Linked DNA regions of Drosophila melanogaster. Changing the gene in region 1 together with any one later gene gives a genetic interaction. Each region holds a gene or a part of one and is shown in the gene's direction. Other genes may lie near its edges.

What was found.
Region 2: of HipHop (region 1) and cav, changing one enhances a phenotype caused by changing the other (phenotypic enhancement), as found in Drosophila melanogaster (one study listed by BioGRID).

The regions. Positions count from the first base shown.
Region 1 is NT_037436.4:18,819,332-18,822,999, forward strand, and holds HipHop (HP1-HOAP-interacting protein), read left to right. Parts: upstream 1-1,839; 5' UTR 1,840-1,975; coding exon 1,976-2,641; 3' UTR 2,642-3,022; downstream 3,023-3,668. Other genes in the region: Cat (catalase), read left to right, coding at 3,455-3,511. UniProt on the Drosophila melanogaster protein: Part of the HipHop-HOAP complex that recruits the MTV complex to form the terminin telomere-capping complex, which binds to chromosome ends in a sequence-independent manner and prevents telomere fusion.
Region 2 is NT_033777.3:24,219,845-24,224,297, forward strand, and holds cav (caravaggio), read left to right. Parts: upstream 1-1,686; 5' UTR 1,687-1,897; coding exon of another isoform or gene 1,898-1,909; 5' UTR 1,910-2,063; coding exon 2,064-2,081; exon of another isoform or gene 2,082-2,121; intron 2,122-2,397; exon of another isoform or gene 2,398-2,498; coding exon 2,499-2,630; intron 2,631-2,691; coding exon 2,692-3,579; 3' UTR 3,580-3,684; downstream 3,685-4,453. Other genes in the region: twin, read right to left, coding at 121-307, 371-499, 688-719, 984-1,003; Spps (Sp1-like factor for pairing sensitive-silencing), read right to left, coding at 3,905-4,453. UniProt on the Drosophila melanogaster protein: Part of the HipHop-HOAP complex that recruits the MTV complex to form the terminin telomere-capping complex, which binds to chromosome ends in a sequence-independent manner and prevents telomere fusion.

The DNA.
Region 1 (3,668 bases):
CTCGTTTCTTTGTTTGGCCTCTTTGTTGTGGTCCTAAGTACCGTTTACTGTTATATATTTATTGTAAACTGGCTGTGGTTGTTGTAATTCCTTGCAGCATTGCTTTTCACTTTACTTCACTAATGCACACACACACCACACACTCTCATATATGCAGAGATAGAAATGGGGAGACCATACACGAACGAAATTTCTCGTGCAGCAACTTTTTCTCTCTTTGCTTTCTTTCTTCTGCTTTATCTTTTTTTATTTTGTGTAAACCAGTATTTTGTGCCTTCTTTCACTTGTATGCTTTACGATGTTGTTGTTGTTGTCGTTGTTGTTTTATTCAAGAAATTGTTGAATAACGGTTTCTGTTAGCCGCTATGCTTTCGTGTTTGTTGTTGTTGTTGTCTTGAATTTCACTTTGCTTTCGCGTTTCACGCATTGCTGCTGCTTCTTCTTCTACGTCGCCGTCGTGTTGCTCCTTTTCGTATTTTACATTTTTTTTAGCCGTGGGAAACCTGTCCAGCAGCCTTAAAGCCGCTGTTTTTGTTGCTTTTCGTTTTTTGGCTAAACATTTTCATTGCTAAAAGAGCACTTGGGACTTTTATTTTCATAATTCATTTATCGCGCTGTAGTTGTGCGTATATTTATAAAGATAAAAGCAAGCAAACAGCGCAGCAAAATTCCAAATAAATAAAATTATTGTTGCTCAACGTTCATTGCCACACACACTCACACACGGCCAGACACTCACCAACACCAGCAGACAACGAGTCAGACACACACACATGCATACACTTTTTTTGGGGCAGCGTTTTTTGTTGTTTCAAGGCAACTTTATTTCTTGACTCTTTTTTTTGTATTTTCCTCCCCCGCAGGGAAACAAAGAAAATTTCACTTGTCTCGCACACTCACACCACGAAGCGCGCACACAGACACGGTGCCTTTCCCAAAGGAAATATTATTTAAAACATTTATTGACACAATTACAAGGTTTTTGCTTCTTTCGCTCGACGTTGTTATTGTTGTTGCTGTGGTTGTTGCCGCTTGCTTGCTTTTTTCTTGCTGTTGTTGTTGGCCTACTTTGTGTGTTGTTGCTGTATTTTTTCTCTCCTCTTTTTTTTGTTGCTCCAACTTCTCTCCTTTGCTTTGCTTGAAAAAATTTCACACGCGCCGTTTCTTTTTTTGTCTCTTCTCTTTACGTAAATTAGATTGCCATTTGAAGTTATCTTTCGAGGGATTGCACTTGGTATTAAGCTATATTATACATATACGTGTTGCACTACATTATATTTATAAAAATTATGTGTATTCGTTTGAAATTTTAATTGTGTTTTTATAAAAAGAAAATCAGACGAGACGAACGTATGAACAATGAATGACAAAAAATAACCTGGGTTTAATGGGCTAACATTTCGCGTCCAACAGCACGCTGAGTGCTGTTCGGCGAGCAGCTGATTTTGCAGTTTTCGGTATTTTCAGTATTAGTTGGTATAATTACAGTTTGATTTGAATGTGGTTTTAGGGTTTTAAAAAATGTGTTTTTAAACTCATTTTAATTGATACAACCAACAGAAGAAATACAGTCAATTTTCAAACTAACTGATATAACATAAGTATTTCATGAACATCGAACACGCCAATAATTAGATTATTGTCAATTTTAAACGAATAGTTTCTTCATATTAATTACTTAACTGGCATTACAATAAGCCACATTTAAATTGTGAGAAACTGTGACCATGTCAGTATGTTTTTAGATTTTATAACATTTAAAAAAATTGAATTTGTTTATTAGTTAAATGCATTTTATTTTACGCCTAATTTTGGTATATTTCAGCAATCCATATGTGGTCACACTATATGTTTCCAAAGTGGCGGGACAATTGGCTTCATGTTTCGTTTTGTTGCGTTTGGAAGTTAAAATGCCAGTGTAAGCATTGTTTTGTAAGCCCGAGTTGTGGAGAACTAGGTGCATGATCTATTCCAGATGGCCTCCATTGACGAGGGCTCGCGCGTTGAGCGGAGATTCTGCGCAGTCGGCAACCACACGCTGCGGAAGCCGTATCGCCAACTGAACAACAAATATTTGGTGCGCTTCGCCTGTTTGCTGAACAGCGAAATTCGGGCGGGCAACCTCATCTGCTGCAAGTGCTACACGGACCTGGTGCGACTCTACCGGAAGAAGAACGACAATGCCAAACGGCACAAGATGGCCAGGGAGACTGCCGCGAGCATTACGGACGTCAGCGGCAGTCAGTCATCGTCGCACCAAAGTGCGCCCTCTTTGCATGTCTCTGGCCAAAGTTCCGAATTCGGTGCCTCATACAGTGAGGGGGGCATTGTGACTCCCGATGAAGAGCTGTGCTCCCACAGAAGCTTAAGTCAAGATTCAGACAATGTGCCCACTACCAGCGCTGCAGCGATCCAAAAACGCCAGCTTGCGAGGGCAAACCTAATGGTGAAACCATCGCAGAGGCTGAGCTTGGCCCAGACTACTCCGGATTGCGACGACTACGACCCCAACTCGAATCTCAGTTTGAACGCCGTGAATGGCACGCGACTGCCGCACATTCAGCCGATTCCAAAGAGGCGCCCGACCGTCCTGGACAAGCAGTCCATGGATATTTACTTGATGGGAACCACAGGTGGTTAGGTGATTTTTTTAAGTTGTGACTAGAGAACAAGATACATATGCTAGTTGATGCTAGTTTCTAAGTTTCATTTAATTAGATATTTTTGTACGCTAAAATAAAGAAAGACAGAGATGTTAGCTTGGCAGGAGCCACAGAAAGATAGCCGCCATTTGGAGATTTCCTTGAAGTTTATAATTTTAACATGTTTAATGATATTTACATATATTATATGAATGAAGTACATTTATTTTAAAGGCACCACTGGAAGAGGTTCACAACTTAAGAAAAAAAGAGGCCATAGATATTTATTTGGCAGGAGCACCAATAGATAGCCGACTTAGTTTATAACTTAATGATGCCGACATTTTCATGAAATTAAAAAAATAAATAACTTAACAAACAGTTTAAATTTATTCACCTTTCTGGGCAGCAAATGGAGCGAAGGTACTATAAATTATCAATAATAAATCTTAATGGTGTTGGGACACGTTTTTAAATGGACAGTGCAAAAAAAAAACTTTGAAAATGAATTTCATACTATTTAAATACAAATATGAATAATAATGGATATTATGTAATATTTAAGCGATATATTTCCAACTATAATCGAAATATCGATATCTTCGGCCCACTCGACAACCCTGAGCAACAACAAGTACGTGGTGCTGGGCTATAAAAACAAATGGAACTGCGCTGCAGTTGCTTTAGTTGACAGAATTCTCGACGCAGTCACAGCAAAAAACCGAAGGCGGCTAGAAATCAACAACTTTCCAGTTCGAGTGTTTCTAAATTCTGGTTATCCCGTTGAGCAAATATCCTAAATTTTAAGCAAAATGGCTGGACGCGATGCGGCTTCCAATCAGTTGATTGACTACAAAAACTCCCAAACGGTGAGTGTGTTGGTGTGCGAGCGCGAGAGAGCGCAACTGCATGTGTGTGCGTGTGTGTGCCGGCAGGAAAATAAGAAAACAAGAAAGGCAAAAAAGACAAAAAGAGAAGGGAGAAGCATTGTACGAAATGAAATAAACAAAAAACAAGACAATTTCA
Region 2 (4,453 bases), on another chromosome or scaffold:
CAGACAGCGATTTCACAATAGATCAACTGCTAAGGGTGCAATAGAGTATGAGACATAATAATAGGACTAAAATACGATTTAACAACGTAAATCATGTCCTATGCCAACCCACAAACTCACCGCAACTGGATGAGCTCGCCGAGCTCTGCGGGAAGACTTCTTAGCTTATTGCTGGACAGGTCCAAAGTTCGGAGGCTGGTCAGCATGCCAACGTCTGCGGGCAATCGCAGCAGCTGGTTGTCGTTCAGGTAGAGGGCGGTTAGATGCTCAAATTCCCACAGCGACGGGCTGATATTGCGGACGCAGCCTGTAAACAGATGTATGGTAGAATTAATATGATATTTTTCGGGATTAAGTGTGTGATACCCACCAGTAATCTCTAGGCCACTCCAGTTCGTCTTCTTGCCCGCAGCTATGTCCTCCTGCGACAGAAAGATCTGCTGCCGCCGATTGGCGCTGTCGTATTTGTCTTTGTTACGAGACATTTTATAATGATTGCCTGTTCGGTATATATAGAAGAGAGTTATATTAATATATGTATAAGGTAAGAGATAACAAGTTAAAATCTGGAATTGTTTCAAGGAAGTTAGGGCTCATGTTAGGAGACAAAACCTCGCTTAGCAACAAAAATGAATGCTTTGAGTTTTAGCTTAAATGTATCTAGGAGTATTGGAATCAAATCATAACCTTTCATAATAACCGCCTGATGATAAGCGTCTCTGCAAAATATTAATAAAGTGGTTTCCATTATTATTTTGTATTAGTAAACAAAGGTGGGTCTGAGGTCCGGGTTTGGTTTACATATACAGCTAAGGTAAAACTAATAGCAGTTCTTAAACATTATTAATTAAAATTTAAGTACAAGGTAAAAGGTCGATATGGAAAATACCGCCAAACTCAATAGTTGGAGGATTTTAGGAAAAATCTTTATATTTTATTAATAAATAGCATTGGATATGTATTTTGGAACGTTGTCTATGCACCTTTTTTTAAAGATACACATATTAGGCTTTAAAGAACTGCTATTGGCTTTCGCACAGCTGCGGATGGTAAATTGTAAATCATAAATAAATGCAAACGAAAATGATTTTGGTAAGCGCGCGCAAAGTGCAAGCACCAACACACACGCACACACACGGACGCGTAGCACACACAGAAACACTATACAGTTAGAAAGAAGAATGGCGTGGGCGGGCAAAACAAGAAGAAGAAGGAAAGCCGTATGTCGCATATTGAAAATCGTGGGTATCAGGAACCTGTGTAGGATTACCTGGCTCAGTTCACTATTCCTAGGAAGTCACCTCAATCGGAAATTCTGGCTCAAATTTACTCGCCGTCTCTCCTCGTTTCGCGCGCTCTTTTCGCTCTCCGCCTGCACTTACTCGAGGATTTTGAAAGAAAAAGGAAGCCGCAGCTGGGGATTCAGCAATATTCGATATTCACTGTGAAATTTAACCGACTTCTACCGTTTTTGGTGCCTTTATTTGGGTCCTATATTTGTTATTTTATTATTTTGCTGCTTTTCGTTCGTGTTTGTCGGAACAGAAGCGACGATTCTGCTAATCAACCTATTCGTTTTGGATCGCTCTTTCTTCTGCTGGGCCTCTGCTTTTCATTTATTTATCACGCGACTCGCTTTCATCGTCGGTTCTTGTTTTTGTATACATGGTGAGCAGTCGGAGTTGCCACTCGGTTTTATCAGCGGACGGTATCACGGCAAGATTTGTCCAAAATGCGTGCTTATTCGTCCAACTGAAGTCCGGCCTAGTGTTCTGATAAAGTGTGAGACAACGTTTGTTTGTAAAAAGAACTACTCAAATGGGATTTCAGTCAAAACAAAACAAGAGCACATCACACACAAGACGCACACATACACACAAGACGCACACGCACACAGATGGTCAAAGAGGTGCAGGGCTGAAAATAAAAACACGTAGATATTTCGTACTGTTTGCTTTACTAGCCACTTTTTTCGGTCAATGCTTTTTGCTGAGGACTCGGCTTTCGACGCGATATATTTTATGTAGTTTAGATCTCTGGATGGACGATTTATTTGTGAATTTATGCTGCTGCTACTATGTGTAAACTTTCGTTCTTCGCTTTCCTTCGTTTTCCATTTCTCTTTTGTGCGCTGGTTTGGCGTACGCGGAAATGCCCACTTGCTGTTAATCGGCTATCGGAAAGAATTTGCAAGCAGGGGCTCCAACTAGCGTATTGAGAAAGTAGCTATATTTTGTATGACAGTTAAGACCCCTGTTTTTTGAATTGATATTTTTTATAGGATTGAAATCAGGAGCTTTGAATTATTAATTTGTAAAATAAAATGAGTTTATTTTGACAGCAAACGAAAATACTTAGCTAGAATCGAGCTAAACCATTAAAATCTGTAAATACTGACTAATCGATAACCTTACAGAGTTTCGATAGATCCATTAGCCGCGAATGCCCTTAAAAAGTTGTAATTTATTTAATTTAATGTTGCGTGTTTTTAAAAAAAGGTTAATATGTCGGGGACGCAAATGTCTGCCTTCCTGAGAAAGTATCTAGCCGACGAGGACAAAAAAATTCGTGCGCAATTCAAAGAAAGCGATCCTAACAACAAATTGATTCTATGGATGCACGAAAAAACGGTAAGACGCATTTCATTTTGTAAATTGAAATTGTATATTGTATAGTATCCTGTATTTGAAGAGAATAACCGAGGAGGACTTGGCACGCCCATACACCGAGGACGAGGTAAAGGAGCTTTGTCTACGCACCAAAGTGAAGGTTGATATGACCGCTTGGAATTGTCTGTGGGAAGCCAAAAAGAGGTTTGAAGCAAAAGGACGTTTTGTGAACAAGTCTGAGAGATTCATCAACCGAATGTATATGAAAGCGGTGCGCAGAAAGATGGTCCAACCGTATCCGGAGGAGTTTGTGGCCCAGCGAAGAGAAATAGTTGCAGCCGAGACTAAGAAGCAGAACATCAGCCGATTGGATAGATGGCAAAAGAAAAAGAGTCAAAACCTATCAGCACCAGAATCCTCTCCAGACGCTCATGCATCTTCTAATGACGCGGTGCAGAGCCACGAGGACCAAGCAAACACAAATCTTAGTTCACTGTCTCAAATGAACTTTCAAGTGGAAGCGATGGCTCCGCCAGGCGTGTCGTCATCTGATCTTAGCGGCATCGGAGACGATGAGGACGAACAGCAGCAGTCAGGATTTCAGGATGAGAACATCAACCGTCCAGAGACAGAGATTAATGAGAATTCGGTGAGATGTGATCCAATTAATTTAGGAAGGATGCGGACTGGATGTATAAATTCGCAAGCAAATAACAGTTTCCGGAATACGGAGTCTGATCCGGACTACTATATGTTTGGCACCCAATTGAGCACATTAGTACGACCCACGTCGACTCAAGAGCCTGACGATCAGGTAAACTGTCCAGAGACAGAGATGAATGAGAGCTGGGTAAGGTGTGATCAAATTAATTCGGAAAGCTTGTCGATTGGACCGTCAATTGATTCGGAAGGAACTATCACTTTTCAAAATACAGAATCTGAGCCGATCGACGTCACCTCAATAGCCTGATGTCCATATATTAAACTATATAAAGTTCTTCATTTATTGGTGTTAATTAATTAAAAACATGTAATCCCTAAAAATGTTATAAAATGTATAATAAAAATCTTAATTAAAATACGATGGTCGATTAAGCTATGTACACTAATCTAGGATGATCCGCAACCGGAGCTGTACAAGAAGGGTAAACATTTAAAATGCTCGCTTTTACATAATTACGCTATGTACAATTTATATATTGCTAAACCATGGTCCCATGGGGCGCGGCAGGGGGCGGTGGGTGCTACGGGAAGTGGTCAAACAAGAACTGTTCCATGAACAGCGACTCCGAATGCTAGTTGGACGAATTGTCGCCAGGCTCACTGACCGCAATTGTCATCTTCACTTCATCGCCACTGTCTAGTTCTGGATCCTCGTCATCCTCCTCATCCTCGCAATCATCCATATCGTCCTCGTCGAGCTCCTCGTCTTCGTCGTCCTCTTCGGTCAATTCATCATCCTCCTCGTCGTCCTCATCATCGCCGAAACTATCACCCCCGCCGCTGGCCTCCACAGTCGGCAGCTGAACGATCGTGGCCCCGCCCGGCGTCACAGTTGAGCCTGCAACCGTGGCCGCCACACTGGAGGCTCCACTGCCCGCCGCCGCTGAACCGCCGCCCGGAATCTCAATCGTCACAATGCCGTTCACCGTGCTAATGCTTTTCGGTGCATTGCCACCCTTGGTCTCCTGCTTGATGCTCAGCTCAATTAGCTCCACGCCAGAGCGGCTCTTAAAGTGCGTCTTGATGTGCTTCGACAGGTGATCGCTGCGCATGAACTTTTTGTTGCACTCCTGGCACTGGAAACGCTTCTCTCCCGTGTGCGTTCGTCGGTGGCGCTGCAG